Rattus norvegicus: one gene and its partners. The protein of the gene in region 1 purifies or fractionates together with the protein of each later gene. This does not show direct contact. Links are inferred from orthologs where the notes say so. Each region holds a gene or a part of one and is shown on either strand. Other genes may lie near its edges.

The links.
Region 2: the proteins of Vcp (region 1) and Tubb5 purify together in Homo sapiens (affinity purification with mass spectrometry; 4 studies listed by BioGRID, with this or other methods). This does not show direct contact. The link is inferred for Rattus norvegicus from reciprocal best matches to the Homo sapiens genes VCP and TUBB.
Region 3: the proteins of Vcp (region 1) and Hspb1 purify together in Homo sapiens (affinity purification with mass spectrometry; 3 studies listed by BioGRID and IntAct, with this or other methods). This does not show direct contact. The link is inferred for Rattus norvegicus from reciprocal best matches to the Homo sapiens genes VCP and HSPB1.

What each region holds. Positions count from the first base shown.
Region 1 is NC_086023.1:62,022,451-62,026,854, reverse strand, and holds the start of Vcp (transitional endoplasmic reticulum ATPase), read left to right. Parts: upstream 1-1,467; 5' UTR 1,468-1,678; coding exon 1,679-1,695; intron 1,696-4,404. UniProt on the Homo sapiens protein: Necessary for the fragmentation of Golgi stacks during mitosis and for their reassembly after mitosis. Involved in the formation of the transitional endoplasmic reticulum (tER).
Region 2 is NC_086038.1:2,916,117-2,920,503, forward strand, and holds the start of Tubb5 (tubulin beta-5 chain), read left to right. Parts: upstream 1-1,460; 5' UTR 1,461-1,656; coding exon 1,657-1,713; intron 1,714-2,998; coding exon 2,999-3,107; intron 3,108-3,446; coding exon 3,447-3,557; intron 3,558-3,688; coding exon 3,689-4,387. UniProt on the Homo sapiens protein: Tubulin is the major constituent of microtubules, a cylinder consisting of laterally associated linear protofilaments composed of alpha- and beta-tubulin heterodimers.
Region 3 is NC_086030.1:26,430,013-26,433,462, reverse strand, and holds Hspb1 (heat shock protein beta-1), read left to right. Parts: upstream 1-1,161; 5' UTR 1,162-1,295; coding exon 1,296-1,671; intron 1,672-2,332; coding exon 2,333-2,396; intron 2,397-2,507; coding exon 2,508-2,688; 3' UTR 2,689-2,823; downstream 2,824-3,450. UniProt on the Homo sapiens protein: Small heat shock protein which functions as a molecular chaperone probably maintaining denatured proteins in a folding-competent state. Plays a role in stress resistance and actin organization.

The DNA of each region.
Region 1 (4,404 bases):
TGACTATAATGAAAGCCAGTTAATTGTCTTTTGGGGCACAGGGACCTTAAATCACAGCACATGGTTGATCTTTCTTGCTCTTGGGCACTACTACGTTTGCTATGTGTTCTGCAGTTGTCCTTGACTTTCTTGAACCTCAGTGCGCTCCCTCTCCAGATAATATTTATACTCTGTGTTAAGGAGTACAGACTCCCAAACCCTGAGGAATCACAAAGCCTGCATCATTAGAAGAGAGTGCAATGGCAATCGAGTGGATTAAGAGCTGGGGTGCTGATTCAGAACTCTAGGGTTCAGAGAGGAGGGGGTGGGGTGGAGCTAGGAGTCTCCATTTTCTTTTTTTCTTTCTTCCTTACTTCCCTCCCTTCCTCCCTTTCTTCCTTCCTTCCTTCCCTCCCTCCCTCCCTTCCTTCCTTCCTTCCTTCCTTCCTTCCTTCCTTCCTTCCTTCCTTCCTTCCTCCCTCCCTTCCTTCCTCCCTTCCTTCCTTCCTTCCGTTCTTTTTTGTAGACCAGAGTCCAGCTATGCAGCATTAGCTGGCTTCAAACTGTCAATCTCCTGCCTTTAGCCTCTGGAGTACTGAGATCTAGGGTGTACACCACCATACCCACTTGTTTTTGCTTGTTTTAAAATTTTATTTACTTAGTTTTGAGTATCATTTGGCTGGCTGGAACTCTTTTTTATAGGCCAGGCTGACTTAAAACTCACAGAGAGCCGCCTGCCTCCGAAGTGCTGACATTAAATGCATGTACTACCACACTGCTTTTAAAATTTATTGAGATACTGTTTGAGACTAGAATTATAGCTATGTGCCATTACGCCGACATGGTTTTGTTTTTCAGAAAAGGTCTTGTATCCTGGGTTGATCTCCATCTAATAGTCCTCCTGCCTCAGCTTCCCAATTGCTAAAAATACAGACCTAGCCCATCCACCACGCCCTTCGTTGGAGCCAGTGTTTTAAAGGAGCACGAAGGATTTTAGTATGGTGGAGTAAGAGGATCCCTAGGATTGGCGAGAAATGAACTATGTGGATTATTATTACAACTCAGCTAAACTAATAAGGGTTCAAGCCTTTGTGCGAGGTTCTCCCAGCTGCTTATAAACTAAGGAGCCAATCAATTGGAGCCAAGTAGAGGAAACCTCCTTCGGAGGGATAAAGACTCTCCTTTTACCAGAGGATCTGGCCTATTGCTTTTGTCGATTGGTCAAGACTCCCTATGCGTCGAGGAAGCGTAGTGCTACGGCCAATTGACGTGGCGTTACTAGGCGTGTTGCAGCCTTGAGGCGGGGCTAGGCCACAAACGAATTTTCTGATTGGTTATCGTCTGTGGGTTGCTGGGGAGAGGCACGGAGAGGCGGGCACGAGTCCTAAGGCAGTCGCTGATTGGTTGAGGTTAGAGCAGCTTTCCTTCCGATGATTCGGCTTTTCTCGGTTCAGTCTCCGTGAAGCGTTTGCAGCCGTCGTTTGATTAGTCGCCTCTCGCGGATTAGGAGCTAGCGTCTCCCGCCCGCCTGCCGCCCCGGTGCCGCTGGGAGGAAGCGAGAGGGAGGCTGCCTGTGGGTTTGTCACTGCTGTTGCTCCTCCACCTGAGTGAGTCAAGCCCGGGCCTAGTCGGTCGCCTACCATTCTCGTAGCCGTTACCCTCAGGCCGCCACAGCCGCCGACCGGGAGAGGCGCGCGCCATGGCCTCTGGAGCCGAGTAAGTGTATGCGCGTGCCCGCCCGCCGGCTGCGGGGGCGCGCACCGTGGGACCTGCCGTGCTGGGTAGGCCCGGTCGGGCCGCGTCTGAAAGTCTAGGCCGGGAGAGAGAGAGAGACGGAAGGAGAGGCAAGGGGCGAGTGAGGGCCTCGGGCCGGGCTGTGCACCCGCGCGCCCCCTAGGTCGGGCCCGCGCTGGGCCTGGGTCGGAGCCTGGACAAGATGGTGCTGTGTCATGCAGGCCCCGGCGGCCTGAGTACCTCCCTCGGCACGCCGGCCCCGGCCTAGTTAGGCCTTAGGGTCCACACTCCCCGCATGGAGCCCTTTGGCGCTAGGACGCCGGTCGGCCATTTCGCCGACCATATACAGAAGACCCCGAGCCTGAGAAGAGAAAACACTGCGAGCCTGAGGCCCGGACTGGGCCCAGTGGGCGTGGACTTTGGGCCACGTGAAGGCCTCAGGAGCCCCAAGACTCAAGGGAAGGCTGGGCCGGAAGACCTGGGGGAAGCCCAGGCTGGTCTTGGTGGATCTGGGACGGTGTTGCCCGAAGTTGGCATGTTTTGAACCACATGTAGAGAGAGGGCAGGTCATGCCTTTCTCAAATGGCAGTTTTTCACCTTGTTAGGCCTGTTGTAAACACCCGGAAGTTTTACCTAGTTTTATTGTTGTTGTTGTTATTGTTGTTTTGCTTTGTGTATTTATCTTTGTTTTTGCTATGATCGGAAGTGGCTAGAAAGGAGGTGTTTTTCTTTTATTTTGAGGTGCTGAAGTTAGAATTCGGTTGTTTTTCTTGTTTTGTTTTGTTTGTTCTTGGCTTGGAGAACTTGCAGGTTAGAGTTGGCTTATCTCTTCAAAAGAAATACATCTCTCTCCCCAAGCATCTATGCTGACTCTCTGGACATTATGGCCCCACCTTCATCTTTCAGAAAGCATCAAATAAAATTTAGCCGTCTCAGCCCATTTAGTTAGAAACTAGAGCTTCCCATACAAAAACAAAGCAAAACCAAATAGCAAGTGTAGGGAACTATAAGATCCCGCTGTTTCGAGTGGTTTAGGTTTCATTTCCTTCGGATGAAGTATTCACTCAGTTATTTGGTTAAAAGAACTATTAATATTTTAAATAGCTAGGGTGGGTGGTATTTTGTACACCTTTAATCTCAGCACTTGAAAGAAAGGCAGAGGAGCACGTTACTAGACTAGCTACTCTGGGAGTCTACGCATTCAGGCCCTGTCTCAAAAAACAACAAAATAGACTTTTAAAATACTGTCAGTATTTCAATTGTTGTTTTTTTTTTTTTTAAGTTAAATTTTTTTTGTTTGTTTGTTTGTTTTTTGAGACAGGGTTTCTCTGTGTAACCCCTGGCTGTCCTGGAACTCACTCTGTAGACCAGCCTGTCCTTAAACTCAGGGAAGTCTTTCTGCCTCTGTCTCTCAAGTGTTGGGACCAAAGGTGTGAGCCTCCACTGCCCTGTGGTTTGTTTTTTCTTTTTTGAGATCAGGGAATAATGTAGGCCAAATTGACTTCAAACTCAGCCTTGTGTTTGAACTCCTGTCTTGCTGTCACTACCTCCCATAAAATGGGATAATAGGAATGTCACAGTATGTTCCACTTAAATCTAGATTTTTGTTTGTTTGTTTGTTTTAAAATTAGAATTCCTAAAATCTGGCATCGTGGGCAGTTTGTATCTTTAGGTCATCTTGCTGATTCTTACCTGAATTTCCAAGTTCCTTTTGTGGTCCTTGAGTTCTGGAAAGAACCTGAGTCATGCAGATGATGGGAGGAGAACATACAGAGCTGTAGTTGCTCCTCAGCTCTTTTGGAGTTACTGACTCTAATCTCCACAGGATTTTGGAGAATTACAGGACTTTAAGGGCCAGGGTCTGGACAGGTATGTAGATTGGAGGTTCTCCTGAAAGGCACTTTTGAGAATAAAATACAAAGTGATCACTTGAGGTACTCCTGTAAATCAAGCAAGAAGATGAGCAGCCTCTTGGACAAGATATTTTCATAGATAAGAGGCAGTAGAAAATTTGGTGGGTTTACACACATTTATTTTTGGAATCAACAGCATTGTGGCCAAAGTGACATAACTTTTGAAGGAGACAAGAGCTAAGGAAACTCCCATTACTCTAAAGTAATGGTTAGAGATGTAACAACATTGCTGAGTGTGGTGGTGCATGTCTGTGGTTCTAATAGAGACCGGAGGATCACTGCAAGTTCAAGGTCATCTTGGTTTTACATAGCAGGCAGAACTATATATAGCAAGACCCTTTTTTAAATAAGTGAGGGTAAGGTATTTCTTGTGGCACTGCTTTTTTTGTTTGATTTTGCTGTCTCATCTCGCCCCTAGAAGAATGCTTTGTAGACATCCATTTATCATCACTACTATTCTTGAAACAGTCTTGCTATGCAGTTTAGGCTGGCTTGGAGCCTTTTGCCAATTACTGAGATAACAGGCATGGACCATACTATGTCTGGATTTCATTAATTTGTTGAAGAAATAGTTTTTCCCCTTCATTTGCTTTTTCCTTTGTTAGACCTCTGTTTCAGTTAATATTCATGCTTCTCAAACCTTGAAAAGCATTTTTTGCTTGGTTGGTTTCTTTTTGGTGAGTTAGGGTCTCTTACTATATATCCTTGGTCTGGGACTCTGTAGACCAGTCTGGCTTCAAACTCATAAATAGTTGCCTGCTTCTGCCTCCCAAGTGCT
Region 2 (4,387 bases), on another chromosome or scaffold:
TGGATGGTGGAGAGTTTCTATGTGGGCGATGGGAATTGAACCTGTTCTGAGAACAATAAATGCTCTTAATTGCTGAGCCATCTCTCTGGCCCCAAATATGTTTTGTGTCCAAGACAGGCTCTTGTTTTGTCGATCAGGTTAGCCTCCAAAGTGCAAGTATCTTTCTGCCTCCACCTCTCTATTGTTTGGGAGGTAGGGCAGGCACAATCTAATTTTTCCTTTCTATTTGTTCACTTAGAGATTAAACCTAAAGCTGTGCCTCAGGTTGTCCAGGTAGTCTCTAGGTAGCCCAAGCTGACCTTGAACTTCTCTTGCCTTCTAGTCAGGATTCTGGGATTAACCGTGTGAACCACTCCTGCTCTTATTCTAATGAATCATTTTGTATCTCCTTAAAGGTTTGAGGATACTTAGTATTTTTCAAAACCCTGGAAAGAAAAGCTTACGAGCTCTGACTTGGGCCCATTCAATTCCCATCTTCCCTCTCAGTTCCAGGACATTGCCACAGACTCACCTAATGAATAAAATCAACTAACTGGAAAACAAAACACAACAAAAAAACCAACAAAACAAAACAAAACAAAAAGAAACAAACAAAAGCCCTTGCAAGTGTCTGAGATGGAGGCACTATATAAAGACTAGCATTCTCTTAGTCTGTCCACTCCAGTCTATACTGACAAGATGACCAGGATGTCTTCAGTGTCTAAAGGCCCGAATCTCCCAGAGATTTTACACACACCTCCATTCTTTTGGGACATCAGCTCCATGCAGATTCTCCATGATCCTTGCAATTTTGTTTCTCTTTTGAAAACCCCTGAGACACCTCCCATGGAAACAGAAGGGCAATTCTTTCATTCCTGTCTTGGGATCACAAAGAACTAGACACTGTGTATCAGGGAAGGAGCACACAGTTCTCAGGATTTTCCGCTGAGCTGTGCAGTCTGGCCTTCCCAGACCTTCTGCGGTGGGCAGCTGGCAGGGCGTGCCCAACCCACCTTCCAACTCAGGCACCTCAGATCTCATCTAATTACTATATTTCCCCAAACCTCTTTTCGTACAAAATCCTCTCTCAGGAATAGAGGCTAGGAATCGAGAGGTCATTTTTCATGAAAAATAAAATAAAATCACACACACACACACACACACACACACACACACACACACACACACACACACACACACACACACACACACACACACACACACGCGATACCCCCTAATCCTCCCACAGTACCCACCCATCTTTAACTTCTTTTTGCAGCGTGGACAATAGAGAACTACAACTCCCAAAAAGGACTGCGCTCGCCACTGGCTCAGAGACCAATGGCCGTCTGGCACGTGATCCGCTGGTCTAATCAGCGACTGGTTGGGTAGGCTTTGTCTGCAACCCGAGGCGCCCGCCCATCTCCCGCCCCCGGCCGCGCGAACGCGCGCCCCGCCCTGCGCGCCTTCCCTCCTGCGCTCGCCGGCCTCTTCTGCCTCTTAGAACCTTCCTGCGGTCGTGCTCGCATCTCTCTGCAGCAGCCTCCGGGGCTACGTTCCATCCTATCAGTCTGAGACCAGCCCAGAAGAAAAAAACCAAAAATCCTTAATTATCTTCTTTTGCTCGGTACCTACATTGGGACCATCAAAAAAAGATTATTACAGTAAACCGTAGCCATGAGGGAAATCGTGCACATCCAGGCCGGACAGTGTGGCAACCAGATCGGTGCTAAGGTAAGAATTTTATAATTTTAGATGAAATATGTAAGGATGAGATATCTGTGTTAATCGTGAGCAATGCTAACGGGGCGTTTGCATTCTCCGCTCGTCAGATTTGGCCCCTCAAAGTTTTGTACGTATAAATATAACCCATATTTGTAGCTAGCGTTCTAATATTGAGAAAATGTTTTTCTTGGCACATCTTCGGAAAGCTATTAAGAGACGCTTTTGAGTTCGGGGAAAAGGAGAGGCTGGGGGACTCTAAAGAACTGGTATTAAAAGGGGTTTTCTAACGGTCCGAGGACAGGAGGGATGCGGAAACGATCCGAGACAAAGCCGAGGCGAGGTTTTCCCCTTGCGCCACCCCCACCCCGCCTGGAGGGCCCTACTGGAACAGAATGGAGGGGGAAGGGGCGAGGTTTGGCGGGCAGCTGCAGAGATGCCCCGGTGCGCATTACCTCAACAAAGGCTTGGATACTCCATAGAACCCGCCTTCCCAAGGCTTTTTTTAGATTATGATTCTATGTAGGGCACTACTTTTACTTTTCATTGCCCTTAAAAGAGGTCTTAGGGTGTGAGCGGACAGAAAGTGTGAGCTTTTCAAGTATGTGAGAGACTGTCGGGGAGATTAAGGAGAGAGAAAGAAGGAAGGGAATAAAGATCGGAGGCCATGGGGTTTTTAAAAATTTTCCCCCCGTTTGCGGGCAATTGCCCTGTAGCGGGGGAGGGGGAGGGAGGAAGTGCGGCCGCTACATTGCAGCCGAAGGGTGGGACCCTCTTGGGGGCGGGGCTGGAGCCCCTGGCGCGCAGGGACAATGCGGCCCGGGCCCGCGGGGGCGCACTGGCCCCGCCCCTCGAGCTAGGCCCCGCCCGCACTGCTCCCGCCTTTGTGGTTTGCTGGAGGAGCGGCCCGCCACCGCAGTCACGTGGAGCGCGTAAGGGGTGGGCGACTGCAGTGGCCGCACCTTTCTCCCCCAACCCTCTTTTGTGCTGGCCAGGAAGGGCGGTGCCTGGCTTCAGGAACCAAACCTAGGTGCTGAGCCAAGAAGGTGGGCGCCAATCCGCCCATGTAGATGCTTACAGTCCCCGGCCCTTTGAATCGCCAGTCATCCGTCCTATCCACTAAGGTTGTAACCTTCCGGGGCGTAGGCTCCTCGGTAGAGGGTTCCGCAAGCAGATAACGGAATTGCAGTGTCTGCACCACAGCTTCGTTTGAGCATGTCTGGAATCGAAATGAGGGGCGGGCGGCATCCCTTAGGACTTGAGCCATTGAGGCCTCACTGCTCTCTTCCTTATGCAGTTCTGGGAGGTGATAAGCGATGAACACGGCATCGACCCCACCGGCACCTACCACGGAGACAGCGACTTGCAGCTGGACCGAATCTCTGTGTACTACAATGAAGCTACAGGTGAGGGAAGAAATCCCGATTCTTCTGCGTGCCCCCCTATTGAGACAGGGACCCCATTCATCACTGGCCGCCCTGGAACTCACATAGATCGGTCTACCTTCCAAGTGTTGGGTTTAAAGGCAGCATCACCACCCTGTTTTCCCACACTTGGGTATCAGTTACCCCTCTGTGAGACTCCCATTTTTCCCCCCTTACACACACACCTTATGGGGCTGAAGGTTGGCTCTACTGCCACCAGGTGGTAGTGCCTGGAATGACAACTTTAGTGATATGTGGCTGATTTCTCCACCCCAAATTTGAGCTATTTCATCGCTGATCGAACATCTTGAATACTTGTAGGTGGCAAGTATGTCCCTCGAGCTATCTTAGTGGATCTAGAACCCGGGACTATGGACTCCGTTCGCTCAGGTCCTTTTGGCCAGATCTTCAGACCGGACAACTTTGTTTTTGGTGAGTTATGTGGAACGGATTCCCATGTGTCCCCCAGTGGGATTATTTCAAACGTTGAAAGATTAAGAAGTATTGTGTTTCTCTCATATGTGATTAGGCTTTTTAAATTTTTCCCCCTTATTACATTCCAGGTCAGTCTGGGGCAGGCAACAACTGGGCTAAGGGTCACTACACAGAGGGAGCTGAGCTGGTTGACTCTGTCTTGGATGTGGTGCGGAAGGAGGCGGAGAGCTGTGACTGCCTGCAAGGCTTTCAGCTGACCCATTCGCTGGGTGGAGGCACGGGCTCTGGCATGGGCACCCTGCTCATCAGCAAGATTCGAGAAGAATACCCCGACCGCATCATGAACACCTTTAGCGTGGTGCCCTCACCCAAAGTGTCTGACACCGTGGTTGAGCCCTACAACGCCACCCTGTCCGTCCACCAGTTGGTAGAGAACACAGATGAGACCTACTGCATTGACAACGAGGCCCTCTACGACATCTGCTTCCGTACCCTTAAGCTCACCACGCCAACCTACGGAGACCTGAACCATCTCGTCTCTGCCACCATGAGCGGTGTCACCACCTGCCTCCGTTTCCCGGGCCAGCTGAACGCCGACCTTCGGAAGCTGGCTGTCAACATGGTGCCCTTCCCGCGTCTCCACTTCTTTATGCCTGGCTTTGCCCCTCTCACCAGCCGTGGAAGCCAGCAGTACCGGGCCCTCACTGTGCCTGAACTCACCCAGCAGGTCTTCGACGCCAAGAACATGATGGCCGCCTGTGACCCACGCCACGGCCGGTACCTCACGGTTGCGGCTGTCTTCCGTGGACGGATGTCCATGAAGGAGG
Region 3 (3,450 bases), on another chromosome or scaffold:
GGGAGCCCCAAGAACTGGAGACGTTTATGAGTAAGGGGCAGGGTGAGAAGGGCTGAGAAGAGCTAAGAGTAGTATTTCAGTTGCCCAGTGAGCCCAGAGGCCAGTGCTCATTGGTATGCTAATAGACATCACAGGTGACCTTTAACCCTAGTTTCTTTTGTATGGACCACAAAGCAATCCATATAAAAGCTGGAGGTGGCTACCATGTGATGCCTCTAGCCTTTAATCCCAACTCTCCCAGAGGAAACGGCAGGCCGATCTGTGAGATCCAGGCCAGCCTAGTCTAATGAGTTCTAAGACAACCAGGACTACACAGAAAAATCCTGTTTTGAAAAAAGATCCTAATCCTAGCGCTAGGCTGGAGGGGTGGGGCAGTTGCAGAAACAGGAGGATGCTAGGGGGTTCACTGCCCATCCAGTTTGCAGGCACCAGGCTTGATGTCTCCCGAGAGATGGCTCAGCGATTAGGGGGACTGACTGCTCTTCCTAGTACCCAGGTTCAAATTCTAGCACCCGCAGGGCACTCCGAGATCTGACACTCTCTGTAGCTCCAAGATCTGACACTCTCACACAGACGTACAAGCAGGCAAAACGCTGATACACAAAAAATAATGTTTAAAAAAGCATTAAAACAAAAAAGAAAAACCCTGTCTCAAAGAAAGAGAGAAAGGAAGGAGGGAAGGAAGAGAAAAAGAAGTCTCAGGGTCAGTAAGATATTTAGTGGACGAAGGCGCCTGCCACCAAGCCTTTGGTCCCCAAAGAGACACATGGTAGAAGACAGCTAGTCTGGCTGGTCATCCAGAGACCTCCACAGGTGTGCCCTGACAAGTGTGTCCCCACAGGCCTCCTTCTGGCTCAGACCAGGTTCAGTTGCTTCCTAATTGCGACACAAAAGACCGTACCCCTCCTGGTTTATTCTCCACAAACGATGGGACTGGCCCCAGGCCACCGCCCTTCAGACTGCAGCGTTCTAAGCGACAGTGGGAACTGCTCCAGCTACCGGTATTACAGTCATTTGTTTTCTTCAACTAGAGAAGTTTCCAGATGGGGGCAGAACCTTCCTGGCCCTGCCTGCCCGCCCCCTTCGTAAGCTTAGGGGGAGGAATGCAGAGGGGAGGGGCGGCGAGGGACGGCCCCTTAGACGGTCATTGCCATTAATAGAGACCTGAAGCACCGCCTGCTAAAAATACCCGGCTGGACACCCATAAAAGCACAGTTGGGGCTCCAGCTCGGCACTTCTCGGATCCTCAGCCCAGTGCTTCTAGATCCTCAGCCCTGACCAGCTCAGCCAAGACCATGACCGAGCGCCGCGTGCCCTTCTCGCTACTGCGGAGCCCCAGCTGGGAGCCGTTCCGGGACTGGTACCCTGCCCACAGCCGCCTCTTCGATCAAGCTTTCGGGGTGCCTCGGTTTCCCGATGAGTGGTCTCAGTGGTTCAGCTCCGCTGGTTGGCCCGGCTATGTGCGCCCTCTGCCCGCCGCGACCGCCGAGGGCCCCGCAGCAGTGACCCTGGCCGCGCCCGCCTTCAGCCGGGCGCTCAACCGGCAACTCAGCAGCGGTGTCTCAGAGATCCGACAGACGGCCGATCGCTGGCGCGTGTCCCTGGACGTCAACCACTTCGCTCCTGAGGAGCTCACAGTTAAGACCAAGGAAGGCGTGGTGGAGATCACTGGTGAGTTTCCCTTATCCCAAGAGGGGACGAAGCTGGTGGGGCGAGCGAGTAACGTGGTGGCAGTGGAGGTGGGGGGTGGGGGTGGGTGCTGAAACCATGAGGGACAGGACCCTGAAAAGTTAGAAATGAGCTCAGGGACCCGGAGACCCGCGTCATTCTCCCTAGCCTGCTTCTCTTGCCCCGGAACGCGGGGTGCAGGTTTGCTCCTAAAAGCTCTGTCATCTTCGATGATAAGGACCAACAGCTGGGGGTGTAGCTCAGGGCAGAGTCTTGCCTGGCAAGCCCGGAGGCCTTGAGGCCTTGACCACCCGCAGCACAGAAACAAAATGAAGGAAGACCCAAGGCACCTTCTGGAAGACCTCATCCCCAAATAAGCAAGTGGCAGGACTCCAGTCAGGGTCCCTAGACCCAGCCGCGGTGGGGGCGTGCGCACAGCTTCGAGTATGCCTACGCTGGCATCCAAGCCTGGGTCAGAGCCAAGCCCAGGTCCGGGACCTTTGCATCCCAAATCTCAGAAGCGAACTTTCTGGAAAGTTTTAAGATCCCAGACAGTCAGGCATCCCACCACACTCTTAATTTGTTTGCCTCCTTGGGGCCCCAGCCATTCCTTAGCTAGGACTGCAGAGGGCTGCCTCTGACCTCCTTCTGTCCCCACCCACAGGCAAGCACGAAGAAAGGCAGGATGAACATGGCTACATCTCTCGGTGCTTCACCCGGAAATACACGTGAGTTCTGGTTCCTTGCATGGAGAGCTGGGGGGTGGGGGAGCGGACCCTGGGCGGAGGGCGGGGTCAGGAGGGATGTGTAACCCTTGTCCTTTGTTTCTGCTCCTCTAGGCTCCCTCCAGGTGTGGACCCCACCCTGGTGTCCTCTTCCCTGTCCCCTGAGGGCACACTCACCGTGGAGGCTCCGCTGCCCAAAGCAGTCACACAATCAGCGGAGATCACCATTCCGGTCACTTTCGAGGCCCGTGCCCAAATTGGAGGCCCAGAGTCGGAACAGTCTGGAGCCAAGTAGAAGCCTTCAGCTTGCTACCCATCCCCAGTAGCCGTCACCAGCCCTCCCTCTCTGTCAATCTGAATGCTCTTTTGATACATGTACTTTCTGTTTTTCTCAAATAAAAGTTGGAAACTACTGCTCACCACCCTCTCAGAATCCAGAGTTGTTATGGTGGGCTAGGGATGAGTGTTTCTAATTGGAGCACCCTTTGGGGTCTTTGCTAAGTGTTTGCTCTAGGCTCAGCCCCTTCCTCCGTCCAGCCTAATATTCCCCTAGGAAGAGGCAGGGGGTGGGGTGGGGTGGGGGGAGTAACCTGGAGATTAAATTTACCAGACTAGGAATGGTGGTATATGCCTGTAATTCCAATACCCAGAAGTTAATGCAGAAGCATTGTGAATTGGAAGCCAGCCTGGGCTACAGAGTTCTTAGAGTGACTGGGCCACATACATGCTGTCTTCAAAACCAACCAGACAAACAAACATAATAGGAGCTTGGGGTGTGGCTCAATAGAGTGTCCTATGGTGTGCATGAAGCACCATTTGATCCTCTACATCAAATAAACCGGGTACGGTGGCACATTCCAGAAGTGGAGGATCAGAAAGGAGTTCGAGGTTATCCTGGGCTACGTGGCCAAAGTGAGGCCAGCCTGGGATACATGAAAACACCTTAAAGGTAAAAAAAAAAAAAAAAAAAAAAAAAGAGTCAGCCAGACCTACTACTCATCAGATCCAAAGGAAACTCCTCCCCCAGCTGCTGGCTCTGTTCTCTATTAACAGCAAT